Linked DNA regions of Tamandua tetradactyla. The protein of the gene in region 1 interacts with the protein of each later gene in a biochemical or structural test. Links are inferred from orthologs where the notes say so. Each region holds a gene or a part of one and is shown in the gene's direction. Other genes may lie near its edges.

The links.
Region 2: the proteins of INSR (region 1) and GRB10 form a complex in vitro, tested with the Homo sapiens proteins (5 studies listed by BioGRID and IntAct). The link is inferred for Tamandua tetradactyla from reciprocal best matches to the Homo sapiens genes INSR and GRB10.

Annotation. Positions count from the first base shown.
Region 1 is NC_135337.1:83,573,322-83,580,630, reverse strand, and holds the start of INSR (insulin receptor), read left to right. Parts: upstream 1-4,268; 5' UTR 4,269-4,294; coding exon 4,295-4,394; intron 4,395-7,309. UniProt on the Homo sapiens protein: Receptor tyrosine kinase which mediates the pleiotropic actions of insulin.
Region 2 is NC_135327.1:73,042,442-73,049,656, reverse strand, and holds the start of GRB10 (growth factor receptor-bound protein 10), read left to right. Parts: upstream 1-4,067; 5' UTR 4,068-4,162; intron 4,163-4,434; exon of another isoform or gene 4,435-5,011; intron 5,012-7,215.

The DNA of each region.
Region 1 (7,309 bases):
TAATTGTTATATAGCCAAACATATCATTTCAAAATTCTAAATTTGGGATCTGTCTCTTGCTCAGAGAGTAATATTCCCCACTCTGAATATTACAGAATACATTTTCCATATTATAGACTCTTATGGTTTCATAGTTGAGTGGCTTTGGAATTCAACAGATACATTTTTAGTATCTTGGAAATGTTGATGTGGCTCTTTTCCATCATCTATTAATACAGTGAACTCTATGAATAGATTTCCTAATTTTGAATCATCTCTGCAGTCCCGGTCTGAGTTCTCAAATCTGGTATTGGCATTGAGTTCTTTGAAGCTTCTGTCTTGTTCTATTGGTCAATTCTGGGGTATTGCACTGTCGCTTACAAATGAGATCAGATCTTTGTTGTCTTTTCTTTTTCCTCTCCTAAATGTAATGGAGTTAAGCAGGTTTCCATATCAACATAAGGGTGAGTGTTTGCATTTATTTTCCCGCTTTAATGAAAAGGAAAACAGCTCCATTGAGGGAGATGGTGCCAAGGGGTCTTGCTAAAGCAAGACCCCAGCAGTGTGGCAGTAGATTTCCCCAACTACTCCTTGAGGGGCAATATGAGTGCAATATCTGAGCACAAAGTTTGTAGGTGTCAGATCTGGCGCCTTTGTGAAATGGTCTCTCTCTTCTTGGAGCATTCAGAGTACAGTGTGTGGAAGTGCTGAAACTGAAGCAAACCTAACAAAAACAAAGTAAAACAACAACTAAAAAAAACCTCCAACGGTTTCCAAAACTCTTTTCCTTTATTTCAACACAGTCAGACTCCCAGAAAAATTGCAAGAATGGTACACTGAATTCCTGAGTGCTCGCTTTATTAGCTACACCAATTGGATCACCTCTGCTTTGTTTTCTCTCTTTTTCTTTTTCTGAACCATCTGAGTGTCAAGTTTCAGACATTATGTTCCTTCACGTGTGCTACATAGTTCAGCATCTACTTCTATAACTGAGGACATTTTCTTACATCACTTTAGCATAATGAGGAAATTAACATTCAAACAATCCTGTTCACCAATTGGCAGATTTTTTTCAGTCTTCTGCAATTGTCCAAATTATCTTTCACTGCAAAGGAAACCCAGGATCAACTTTGATCACTTGATGAATGTAGCATCTCCTAGGTTTCTCCACTGTGAAGTGACAATTTTCTCCTTCCCTTTGTTATTGACAAGTACCTTGAGAGTGATGTAAACATCCCGTTCCCCTCAAAGTTTTCCTCATTAGTTTCAAGCATCCACTGAGGGGTATTGCATGAATCAATGAATATACACATTGCTAAAGGTGATTTTCTACTTCTACAGCCATGGTTTTAATAAAGGCAGAAGATGGTCTTGAAGTTCCAATTTTTAGATGCTTTCATTTTTGCAAAAGAAACAATGAGTGGTTGGGGGGAGTGATGATGTCTTAATTTTCTCCCAGCAAGTCACAGCTGAAATGATTCTTTTGATTTTATTTCCAGCATGGAAGTCCTGCATCAATCTTTCGGGCTTTTTTAGTACATGCTACCCGGCCAGAATTGTGGCAGTCTTTGGGTTTCCTGTGGGAGCAGATTTGCACAAGGAAAGAAGGGGACTGGTATTGAGGCAGCCTACAATTCTTGATACCTGGTCTGCAGCTGCCTCCTCCATGTTCTCCCTGGGTCCACTCTTGCCCCAGTGAAGACAATGAGATATTATTGGAAAGAAAATTTGATTATGTCAACCTTATGTGTAAAACCGTCCCCAAGGGGGTGAAATGTAACACACTCTTTACATGGCATATATGAAGTTTTGTCCCTTCTAGTACCTGCCTACCATTCCAGCATCTTCTCTTCCCTTTCTGTGCTCCAGCTATAGTGCTTGGCTTATTTGCTAGACTGTCTGCTCTGTCTCCACTGGGCACTTGCACATGCTGTTCCCTGTGCCCAAAACACTTTTCCAGGTAGCAAATGATTGGCTTTTCTCATCACTTTTGGCTGGCTCCTTCTCATCTGCAGATTTCAGCTGAAATATCACTTTCTCATGGAATCTTTCTCTGAGTGAAGACTCCCCACTCCCACGAAAACGCATAATTGTTTAATTAATGCTCTCTTACTAAACTGTGAGGTCTACAAGGAAATGGACTATAATTTTGTTCACTGGCAATCCCGCTTACTTATTATTTGTTGATTCTTCCTTTCAAGAAATATTGATTAGGCGGGCCGCGGTGGCTCAGCGGGCAAAGTGCTTGCCTGCTATGCCGGAGGACCTCGGTTCGATTCCCGGCCCCAGCCCATGTAACAAAAACGGAGAAACAGAATACAATAAAACAAGAAAATGTTTAAAAGATGTTTCCCTTCCTTCCTTCCTTCCTTCCTTCTATCCTTCCCTCCTTCTCTCTGTCTTTCCTTTAAAAAAAAAAAAAAAAAAAAAAAAAAAAAAAAGAAATATTGATTAATCAACAGATATGTCGGGCACTAGGGGTGGAGGTGGCAGTAAAAAAAAAAAAAAAAAATGGCGGGGGGAGAAGATATACCAAACAATAAATAAGAATGCCAGGTAGAGATAACCAGCCATGAAAATAACAGGGGAAGGGAACAGAGAGATGAGGGTGAAGGGAGCATTTGCAGCGCGTAGTCAGGGCATGCTCTCTGGAGCAGAGATGTGGAGCACCTGGGAAAGCGTTATAGAAGAAGCAGCCTGGCAAGGAGATGTGACGTTGGCATTTGGGAATAACTGTGGGCCCAGCCATTGACAAATTAATATTTGTTTAATAAACGACGGGAAGAATGAATGTCCTGGGCCTAGGGTTGGGCTGGGTGCTTCCCCTTGTGTCTCGGCTAACTTGGCATGCAGGTATCCACAAACCCATCATACCAGACCCAGAGATTGTCCCCCGTCCGAGGTCTCCCATTGCATGAAGGGGTGAGCCGGATTCCCAGTCTGCTTGGGCTTTCCTATCTGCAAGCCGACCTCCCTCTCCTTCAGGAGGGTGGGTTGGCCATTGCCTTGTCCCCTCGGTGAAAAACCTTGCGAAACACTCAGATACACATGGACTTCGGGTCTGCATGTTGAAAATTGGGGGTGTCCACCTGCGTCCTTGTCTGGGGCCTTTAGGCACCCGGACTGTTGTGTTAGGAGCCTACACACATTGTCCCAGGTGTCATTTGTCCAACTTGAGTCATAGGTGTCCAACTTGAGCCAGAGGCCGCGCCGAGGCGCAGGGGACACGGAGTACGCGGAGCGCACGGGGCGCGCAGGCACGTGGCCGTCCCCTGGGGCCTGCCGGGGCATCCGCCGCGGGGCAGGGGGGCGCGCGAGGCCTGCAGTCCCGAGCGCCCTACTGCGCAGGTTGCAGGAGCCGGGGGTGGATTTGGGGCACACGAGCGCGCAGGGACAAGCGTCGCGCGGGCGGGCGCAACGAGGGAGGTGCTCGCTTGGGCTGCACAATTTAAGGGAGTGACCAAAACAAAAAACAAAAACGAGTAACAGAGACAAATGGGATTTAATGCACTGCTGAAAAAACCAAAAAAAAAAAAAAAAAAAAAATCCACGCTTTTAAAGAAAGACAGCATCCGAGGGGCACCTCCCCCCCGCTCCCCTTCCTGCCCACACTTTGTCCCTGGAATCTCTGGGCCGTGGGGGGCGCCGAGGCTGGAGCAGGGTGCGGGGGGTGGGTCAGGGCGCCCTCTCGGTTGGGGCGCGCCCGGGCCCTGCCGCGCGGGGCCCCGAAGAGGGCGGGCTGCCGGGGGCGGGCCAGGGCGGGGCGGGCCGGGCCCTCCCCCTTCGCGGCCTCCGCCCCCCTCTCCCGGGCGCCCCGTCCCTTCCGCGGCCGGATCCGCGCCGCCTTTTCCCGCGGCCCGCACGGGGCCCAGCTGACGGCCGCGTTGTTTACGGGCCCCGAGCAGCCCTCGCTCCCGCCGTCCGCCAGCCCAGGTGCCCGCCCGCGCGTCCCTCTGTCCGTCCGCGCGTCCGCCGACGGCGGGGCCCAGAACGCTCTTGGCCGAAGGTGCCGCGTGGAAGTCCGCGCCCCGAGAACCCCCCAGCCCCACCCCGAGCGCGGGGCCGGGACCCGAGTGGCCTGGAGGGCGGGGAGCCGGGGCGCCTGGTCTTCGGAGCGGCCGAGGCCCGCGCTCGCCCCTCCCGGGGCGGTTTCCAGGGCCCTCCCGGGGCGGGTGCCGCTGCCCGCGGGCCGCCGGCGTGGGAGAGAAGGACGCGCGGGCCCCGGCGCCTCCCGGGCGGGCCGTCTCGGAGCATGCACCCCGCGGGCCGGCGCCGCGCGCTCTGAACCGCAGCAGGACCCCGCGCTCCCGCGGCGATGGGCGCAGGGGCCGGGCGGGGATCGGCGGGCGCGCCGCTGCTGCTGGCCGTGGCCGCGCTGCTGCTGGGCGCCGCGGGCCACCTGTATCCCGGAGACGGTGAGTCTGGGGGCGCCGGGGCGGGCGGAGGGGCCCTCACCGCCCCCAAAGGAGCCGCCCCCGCGGGGCACCGGGTGTCCCCGGGGGCGGGGGACGCGCGGGTGGCCCGGACGGCCCCGCGGGGGGCTGGAGGCCGCTGACCTTGGCCTTCGCCCGCCTGGGCTCGCGGCCCCGCGCCCCGCTGTTGCGAGCCCTGCTGGGGAGGCACCTTCCCCCAGTGCCCGCCCCGCCGTGGGCGCCTCTCCCCAGCGCACACCTCGGACCCGAGCCTGGCCCCCCTGCTTGCCCAAGGCGCCCGGGAGGCTGGACGCGCCGCGTCTTCGGGTGGCCCCGACCCCTCGGGGTCACAGGGTTTGGGCGGCCTCGGACGGCCGAGTGTTTTGAGTTTGGAGCCAAATCCCGGGGTGCCGGGCCGGGAGGTCCCTTGGGGTCCCCGCTGGTGGGTGTCACTGCCCGAGGCGGGGGTGGGGGAATTAATTGGAGGACTTTCCCTTTCTCACTTCCTAGAGTCTGGGCCGGTGGCTACATTTTACAGGTCCCTAGTTACACTTTTGGGTTCTAGTTACACTCCTTCCAGATGTGAGGAGGCAAATTCTAAGAACCGGCTGCAGTTGCAACAGGAGTAGTGGCAGTTTTTATCAAGATTCTTCTAATTAGTATCACCCTATGCCACGGGCTGGCCCATCTTATCTCTCTGGACCCTCACGGTGGCCCCTGGAGACTGATAACTGTTGTTCTCAGAGTAGGAACCTGGGCTGGGACTCGAACCCCTCTCTGCCAGCTTCCCTCCCAAGGCTGGGGACTCTTTCCCCACCACCCATGTCTCCCCCAACTCCTCCCGCCCCCAGATCTACCCCTCATAAAGGGCTCTCTACCTGCAGTCTTTTTTGGGGGGGAGGGAAATCTCTGGCCTTGGGTGAGCCTCTCACACCCCCCTCCAGGTGTCCCTATGCCTGGAGCAGACAGAAGCAACCCCAGCCCCAGTATCCTTCTCATGCCTGATATTGTCTACTTTTTGAGACTGGGACTGAAGAATCATTTGAGGACATAAATCTAATTTCCCACCATGGGGTCTGAAGCCCTGCTTTAAAAATATCTGAGGTTGCTTCAGATTTTTCCATAAAAGGAAATTGATCATGGATGAAGAAGGGGTCTGGGAGGGAAGGAACAGAAGAATCTCCTAAGTGTACTCGGTGTTGAATGAGGTGGATGAGAAAGCATAGGCTTTGGAGTTGGCCAACCAGGTTTGTTGAGCAGCTCTGCCACTTAATGTCTGGGAGTCCCCAAAGGTCAGGGATGCAGTAGGTGCTCAGTGAAGGGTGGCAGTTGGTTTGAGTTCTTGGTACGAAAAATCCAAGATGAGTTGTTAAACCCATGCCAGGCTTCTCGCGGGCATGCATAATGTGCACAGCCTGCATATGTGTGGTTCCCTACTCTTCTGTTCCTTGCAGTTGTTCTGTGCCTTGGGCTTCCAGGGGTCAGCTGCTTATGTATTTACAGCTTCCATGGGGATCCACTGGGGCAGGGGCTTTTGTCTGTTTCATCTGTGCCCGGCGCGTGGTAGATGTTCAGTAAATATTTATTCCTCAGTGGGACTAGGCACAGTGCGAAGCTCCTTTGTAGTTGGGTTGAGGAGCTCCTTCTCCTCCTGGTTATACTAACTACCAGTTCTAAGAGTAAGCACATGCAAGGCACAGTGCTCCATGCTTTGCATGTATAATCTCAGTCAATTCTCACTGCTGCTGGTGAGGTAAGGTTTTTCATTCCCTTGTGGGGATGATTTGCTGAGAACCACTGAAAAAGCAAGTGGCAGAGCCACGATTAGAACTCAGACTGGTCCGGCCCCAGGGCATGGGTTTCTTAACTAACGGCTGTTCTTTCCTTAACTAGTTCCTGTTGTGGGTCCAAGCCTCCCCCACTTCTGCCCTGGGATAATGTTGAACAAAACATTATTCTTTCAAATAAACGAGAGCTGAACCCCCTTGAAAGCTTGGGTGGGTGAGGGGGGGGGGCAAGAAACTTTCCAGAGCATTAATTTCTAAAGTCGGCCAAGATGACATTTTGACTGGGGTGGGGCAGATCACCCAATCTAATGTGATTTTTAAGGAAGGAAGGACTCTTTCTCAGAGGTGTCAGTGGAACTGCAGCGCCCCAGGTTTTCCGAGGAGTTGTTGCTGCACTGAGCTGGGTGGTGGCTTTTTTTCCGCTATTGCCATTTGGATTGGATGGTTCTAACCAAGATTACTTGCCAGCATTGCAGGAAGAGAATTAAGAATTAAGAAGTCTTAACTAAGAGAATTAAGATTTAAGAGAATTAAGGTGCCATGGTATTGATTAAAGTGAAAACCTTCAGAGCTTTCCATAGTAATCGAGGTGTGAGACGCTTGTTTCTCAGATACTCCTCACTTCTCAGCTACTCTGTAATGAGGGACCGTCATGAGCTGCTTCTCTTGGGTGTTTGGTAGTGAAAGATGTTCCGGGACATCCCCTGCACCCTTGGAGTGGTTATTCCAGATCTTTGCTTCACTCCTGGAGACCTTCCACTGTCTCCTGCCCCACTCACTCATAGAGACCATGGGGACGCTTCCTAAGGTCCCTGTGTTGATTTCCATGTCCTCTTCAGTTGGAGTAGGATTTCTCAGCCTAATATTCTTGACATTTAGGACCAGATAATTCTTAGTCGTGGGGTGGGTGGCAGAGGGGGCTGTCCAGTGCATTGTAGGGTGTGGACCAGCCTCCCTGGCCTCTATCCATTAGATGCCAGCAGCACCAACGCCTATCCCCAGCCTTTACAATAAAAAATGTCTCCAAACATTGCCAGATGTCCTCCCGAGGGGTGGAAGGCAAAATTGTCCCAAGTCAAGAGCCCCCCTGCATTAGAGGAGTTAACTTTTCTTTGTCTAAGACTCCTACTG
Region 2 (7,215 bases), on another chromosome or scaffold:
TGTACACAATGGACATTTGGAGTTTGAGGCAGAGGAAAGCACTAAGGTACAACCTTCCTGTAAGATTGGCTGAGTCAGGTTTGCCACATGGGGGACAACTGCAGTTTGTACAGCCACAAGAGTGACAAGACACATGAACTTGTGTCAGAAAGTTATCCTGAATGAATCCTGGCCAGAAAGGAAGAGGCATGCCCAGATATTTCTGGGAGCCTGGAGAGTTGGGGATTGAGGGCCTGTCCTAGGAATTCTGGGGATTGAAGTCAGCATGAAAGCACTTGAGGCTATTTACCTTCACCCCTACTTAATGAACAGTGTTCTAGTTTGCTAGCTGCTGGAATGCAATATACCAGAAACAGAATGGCATTTAAAAAGGGGAATTTAATAAGTTGCTAGTTTACAGTTCTACGGCTGAGAAAATGTCCCAATTAAACAAGTCTATAGGAATGTCCAAGTGAGAAGGCACATGGCGAACACAGTCAGGGCTTCTCTTTCAGCTGGAAGGGCACATGGTGAACATGTTAGTTTTCTCTCCTGGCTTCTGGTTTCATGAAGCTCCCCAGGAGGCGTTTTCCTTCTTCATCTCTAAAGGCTTGTGGATTCTCTGCTTCGTGGTGTAGCATTCTCTGCTCTCTTTGAATCTCCTTCATTCTCCAAAATGTTTCCTCTTTTATAGGACTCCAGAAACTTCTCAAGACCCACCCAAATGGGTGGAAACATGTCATCATCTAATCCAGTTTAACAACCACTCTTGATTACATCACATCTCCAGGGAGATGATCTGATTACAGTTTCAAACATACAGTATTGAATTGGGATTATTCTGCCTTTATGAAATGGGATTTTGATTAAAACATGGCTTTTCTAGCAGACATACATCCTTTCAAACCAGCACAAACAGTAATATTTAAAATTCCATGTTCTGAGATAATATTTTAATTTACTCATGCTACCAGAATGCAATATACCAGAAATGGGTTGTCTTTTATAAAGGGGATTTATTAAATTATGTTTACAGTTCTAAGGCTTAAAAAATGTCCAAACTAAGGCATCCAAAGAAATACATCTTGACTTCAAAGAAAGGCCAGTCTCTCATATGGGAAGGCATGTGGCTGGTGTCTGCTGGTCTGTGCTCCTGGTTCCATTGTTTCCAGCTCCTAATTCCAGTGGCTTCTTCTCTAAGCATATGTGGCCCTTCACTTAGCTCTGCTGGGGAAAACCTCTGGATTTTATCTTTTAGCTTAGCATCTTATGGGAAGGCACAAGGTGACATCCCCTGGGCTCTGCATTTCCAAATGCCTGCGTGTAGGCATTTCCTCTCTGTTGGCACTCCAAGCATCTCTCCTCTATGTCTGTGTCTATATCAGCTCTTTTAAGGACTCTAATAAATTAATCAACACCCATTTTGAATGGGTGGAGTTAATCCCCATCTGTTCTAGTTTGCTAGCTGCTGGAATGCATTACACCAGAAATGGAACGGCTTTTAAAAAGGGGAATTAAATAAGTTACAACTTTATAGTTCTAAGTCTGAGAAAATGTCCCAATTAAAACAAGTCTATAGAAATGTCCAATTTAAGGCATCCAGGGAAAGATACCTTGGTTTAAGAAGGCTGATGACGTTCAATGTTTCTTTCTCCGTTGGAAGGGTACATGATGAACATGGTGGCATTTGCTATCTTTTTTGTGGCTCTACAAAAAGAGACTCTCACCAAAATGTTTCCTCTTTTAAAGGATTCCAGTAAGCTACTCCACCTTCAATGGGTGGAGACACACCTCCATGGAAATCATCTAATCAAAAGTTAATATCCACAATTGGGTAGGTCACATCTCCATGGAAACAATCAAAATGGTCCCATCCAGCAATACTGAATGAGGATTAAAGGGCATGGCTTTTCTGGGGTCCACCACAGATTCAAACTGGCACAACATCTAATCAAAAGGCCATACCCACAATTGGGTGTGCCACATCTCCACAGAAGTAGTCTAATCAAAAGATCACATCCACAATTGGGCGTGCCATATCTTCATGGAAACAACCTAATCAAAAGGTCCCATCCTACAATGTTGAAATCAGGATTAGAAGAACAAGGCTTTTCTCAGGTACATAACAGTTTCAAACTAGCATAGACAACTAAATGCAATACCCGGCCCTAGAACGAATCTTGCAATGGAGGGGGGAAATGTTATAAAGGACATTATCAGATCATCTGACAAAATTGGAATATAGACGTAGTTTACATACACATATTTTATCAATAAAATTCAAGAATCTGAATACTGTACTGTGGTTATTGAGATAATATCCCTATTCTTTGGAAAGACCCATCAGAGTACATAGGGGTAAAGGGTCATAGTGTATGGATCATACCCACAAAAGGCTCAGAAAAGGTACATACATGTATAGACGTATAGATGTACTTTTCATCCATTTATAAAATTTCCTGTCCATCAAGTTTTCTGACAGGTAGGCAAAAATTGCTAATTGGCGCCTTCAGCCAAGTCGTAAATTTCAAAGCTTGTGTGCTTGAAAGAAGTGAGCCAAAATCTTGTTTTCTCTTCTTTTCCTTATTCTTTAATTTCCTTTTGAGTCTTTTGCCTATGATATTATTCTTCGTGTTTCTTTTTCCCAGGAAGCTAAGATCCTTACACAGCATCTCCCCTGGTTTTCATCTTAAGGGTTTTATAGGGAGGGAATCAGAGGAAGGCTCGTTTCAGTTACAGGAAAGGTTGGCCTTTCTATTGATTTCATCTGAGCATCTTGGGGAAAAAACATTGCTAGAAAGAAGGAATGATTCCGAAGTGCTTCTGAAGGGCTTTGCCACAATAGAGGACTTTGAATCCTTGCTCTGCAGTTCACTAGCCACGAGACCTTCAGGCAAATCACACTGTTTACAAGTCTGTATAGTGGGTATTTCTCAAGGAGCAACCACAGAAGGCAAGGGTGGGGAATAGGTAAGAGGATTAATGAATGTTTGGCATACACTACATACTCCATAAAGGTAAGTTACTGTAGCTAGTTTTATAACATCAAAGCCCAGAAAGGCATAATTATTATTATCCTATTTGTATTATAATTTTGACTCCACAGTAGTAAGGACAATAGTTTCCATTAATTCAGGGCATTGTTCCTGCTAGTCACTGTAAGTTAAAGTTTTACCTCCTCTCTGCCCCAGGACATCATTCTCAGCGGGGGTTCTTATTTAACCATTTCAAAGATAATGACACTGAGCCTGACCGGCATTCAGGAAGTATCTGCAGGGCCTTCCCATACTCACAAGCACAGGGGAAAACTTTGGCTAGAGAGGTGAAGGCCCCAGACCTGGCTGCCTATGAGCTCACACTGGACGACCAGGTTCCTTTTCCCGGGCCGGGGGATCACCAGCCCCAAGACAGAGTTCGGAAAGCCGCAGTTCCATCGGTCTAGTTTTTCTGACGCGCCCCGGGATAAAAGTTTTGGACGTTACAGAGTTTCAAATCGCTTGCAATTGCCTTTTGGAGCAGATCGGATTTGTCTCTTGCCTGGGCTCCCCGGGTCCCGCTCCCGCCCGCGGACCTGGACTCCCAGGCGCGCCCATCTGCAGCTGCCTTTCCCATCGCGCTCCGCCCGGGACAGGCACTGCGTGGACACCGCTGCCAGAGCCTCGGGGAAAGAGGCTGGCCCGCTGCGGCCGCCTCCCCGGCTCGGCCCGGGCAGCCCTGCGTGCCACGCCCTGGGCCGAGACCGCGGCTCCTCCCGCGGTGGCCGCCGCCAAGCGGTCCGGGCTGCGGCGGCGGCGGCGGGAGGCGGAGCAGGAAAGGCGGCTGGGGGAGGAGGCGGGGGCGGGGCGGGCGAGGCTGGGAGAGTTTAAAGCCCATCCAGGGGGGCGGGGAGGCAGGGAGGGAGGAAGGAAGGGAAGAGAGCGGGCGCGGGGCCGCAGGCAGCTGGGCTGGGCGGAGGGTGCGCGCCGGGGCGGGCGGGGACCGTGCTCGGCCAGCGGAGAGCCGGAGGCAGCAGCGTCGGCACAGGCGGCGTCGGAATCCCAAAGTTTGCGCGCAACCTACCCGCGGCGGCGGCGGGAGCTCGCGGACCCGCCCGGGGTGACCGTTCTGCGCGCCGTGCCCCGGACCGGGCGAAGTGTCGCCGGCAGCCCCGCGGAGACGACCCCGGGGCCGGCTCCCGCAGCAGGTACGGAGCGGCTGGGCCGCGCGCCGAGAAGTTGGTCGGGAGCACGGCGGGGAAGTTACTTTTGTCGCTGGGCGCCCGCCGCTGGAGGCCCGGGCACGCCGGCGGCCTGGAGGGTCCCCGCGCGCCGGAGCGGCCGGTCGCGGTCATTGTCTGCGTGCTGGCCGGCCGCGGCCAGAGACGGTGGGCGCCCCGGGACGGCGGGCGGGGCGCGGCGGAAGGGCGTCGCCTGCGAGCCGGGCGCTTTGTCGCCCCAAGCCCCAGCCCGAGGAATTCGAAGGCTGGCTGTGGGGATGCGGGCGAGCGCGCTGCGGAGCTGGCGGGGCGCGCTGCCCAGGGCTCTCCCGACTCCTTTCCCGACCCCTGGGGGGAGATGTTGAGCTCAAACGGTGCATTCTTGAACCATCTTGTCAGACGCGAGCTGCTCGCCGGTGGGGGTGGGGACCACTGTCCCCTGTCCCCGGGGGAGCCGCTCCGGGACGCGCTGGGCACCGAGGCGCTGCTGGAACCTCCTCTCCTCTTTTTTCCAACTGTGTACGGAGCCGCGCGACTCCAGCGGCCGGGGCAGCCCGGGGCGATCCGTGCCTGGACATTCTCAAGTCCAAAGCGCGGCCAGCCTCCGGGCTCCAGCCCGAAGGCGATTGTTTTCTGGTTTGGGGGTTTTGTTAATAACCGCGTTACCCACTGCTGGGCCTAACATCAAGTTGAGGGCCCGCGGCTTAGCCGCCCCGCCAGCCGTGGAAATGTGATAAGAGCGGTACCGTTTGTAGAAGGAAATTTCTGATGCAATGCTCCGCCTTTTCTGATGGCGTCTCCAAATGCCTGGCCTGCCTGGTGAGAGTACTTGAGCATGTGCGTTATGGAAATTAGTGTATTCTTTACTTTTTAATTTTGTTTTTCTTTTCTTGGGATTGGAAGAAACGCGAAGAACTTTTTGCCGTTTGCCTTGCGTGAAACCTTGGGTAATGTGGGGGAGCCACAGGTAACTTTTACAAGGTCCTGTATCTTTATGATGCACCAAAATCATATGATGCAAAAAAATAATGTTTTGTTGCAACCGTGGTACCCAGTCTCATTCAAGAGATGCAAGGAAAAGACCAAAACAACTAGTGCTCGTGAGTAAATCTGCGTTATTGCACAACTTTTCTCTTTGCTGCTGTTTTAAGAGGCCTGGCCCAGAACACTTTGTTTCTGAAAATGCTGATTCAGCCGTTTGGAGCCCCTGTGTTTCAGACATGGTGCTGCATTTAAAATTTCGCTCAGTTTTACTAAGAACACATGTTGTGAGTGCATGGACTAGAGTTTACAGCACAATACTAGTAATTTTTTATAGGAATGAACCTAGAGACCCTCTCCTGCCCCACCCCCACCCCTGACCCCCACCCCCGGAGGAAAAATAGGTAGAACCTAGGTTTCAGTAGCAGGAAAAGTTCTGGCCTCAAGGCTGTTAGAAAATATCTTTTGGGGGAGTATTTTATTTAGGCAAAACCCTGAAACCTAAGGTATCTCCAGGAATGATTCTAGATGCTTGGCTTTTTCTATTAAAAATCAGAGCTCTAGGATTACTGCACATAATAATTGAGTTTCACCGGGAGCACTTGAAAGAGAAGGGTCACACAGGGCAATCCCCAGATTACAGGGAGGGAATTTGAGGACAGACAGAGTTACACACCCAGCAGGCTTTGCTTGTGTAACTGAGAAGTATAGAGACTGATACTTCTGTAGCAGTTTGCAGTTTACAAGTACACTTTCAAAAGCCTGCTGCCTATAATTCCCTCCTCAGCCCTCCTGATCCTCATTTTGCAGGTATGGGAACAAAGTCTCAGGAGGTTAAGCCATATACCTAAGTTGCAGGGCCAGCAAATGACAGAGCTGTCAACAGACCCTGAGCTGTGGCATCTTTTTAGTCCTGTGGGTTTTATGCTTTTACACAGGTATGTCCACCTCTGGAGCAGAAATGGCAGGGAGGAGGTAGCTTGGTCAGTCACACACAAGGAGAACTAGAAGGACCCATGGCCAGCATTTTGTCCAGCAGCTCCCAGTAGTCAAAATTTCTGCTCTGTTATCATACCATCAGTATTTTCTTCTAATCGGTTCGCTTAATACTCTTAGATACACATTTATATTCGGCAGAAACTTTGATACCCATGAAGTTGTGAGTTTGATATAGTAGTTATGTTTATTTGAATTAAAACAGAAAAGCTGTATAACTTTCAGGTCTTCTGTTGTGTGTCACTGCTGGTATGTACCGCTTTTGGGGCCGCCCTGGACTGGTCAAAACACTTTTCATTTTGTGGGCCAGGGCCCCCCAGGCTGGGTAGTTTCTTGTCAGTTATTGAACAGGACTTTGCTCTGATGGTGGGTCCAGGATTAGAACCTAGGGCAGCCCTGGTCCAGTTATAGTGACCTGTGTTGTGCCGGACTCCATCGGAAGAGAAGAGCAAAGTCAGAATCTGAGAGCAAGCTCAGGATATTGGATTTCCATGATCCGCCCAGATCTGAGATTTTACAATGTATAGAAATCATATTCCTGCTAGAACAAAGACATCTATTGTGCCATCAGCTTCATCACAGAGCTATAAAATTCTTAGTTTGTATATCTGATAAAACCTAATGCTTTAAAGGTGTTATAATTTAACCTGTTTCCTTGGAATTCTGTCCAGCTCTTAGCTGCCGTGGGAAGAGAAAGCCTACACAATGATAGAATGTATTTTTAGTTTGTATTAAAATTAGTTTGCCAGACTGTCAAAACTCTGAAAACTCACTACAGGGATTTCTGTACTTGCTTTGTGCCTGCTGGGAAGGATGCGTGTGCATTTGCACGTTTGCTGTCGTTAAACCAACACGGAATTGCATGGGCTCATGAGAAAATATGTGCCTTGTCTTTCATGTAAAGAGTCAGTCGTATGTTCAGAGTGTAAACAGACTTTTTCTACTAGTGGAGGTTACCTTTTTTCTCTGAATATTTTACTTTTTTATTTTACTGGGAAAGAAATGAGACAGTCAAATTTGAGCTGATGTTTAGCTTCGTGGGAGATTGAGACTTGGTCAACTAG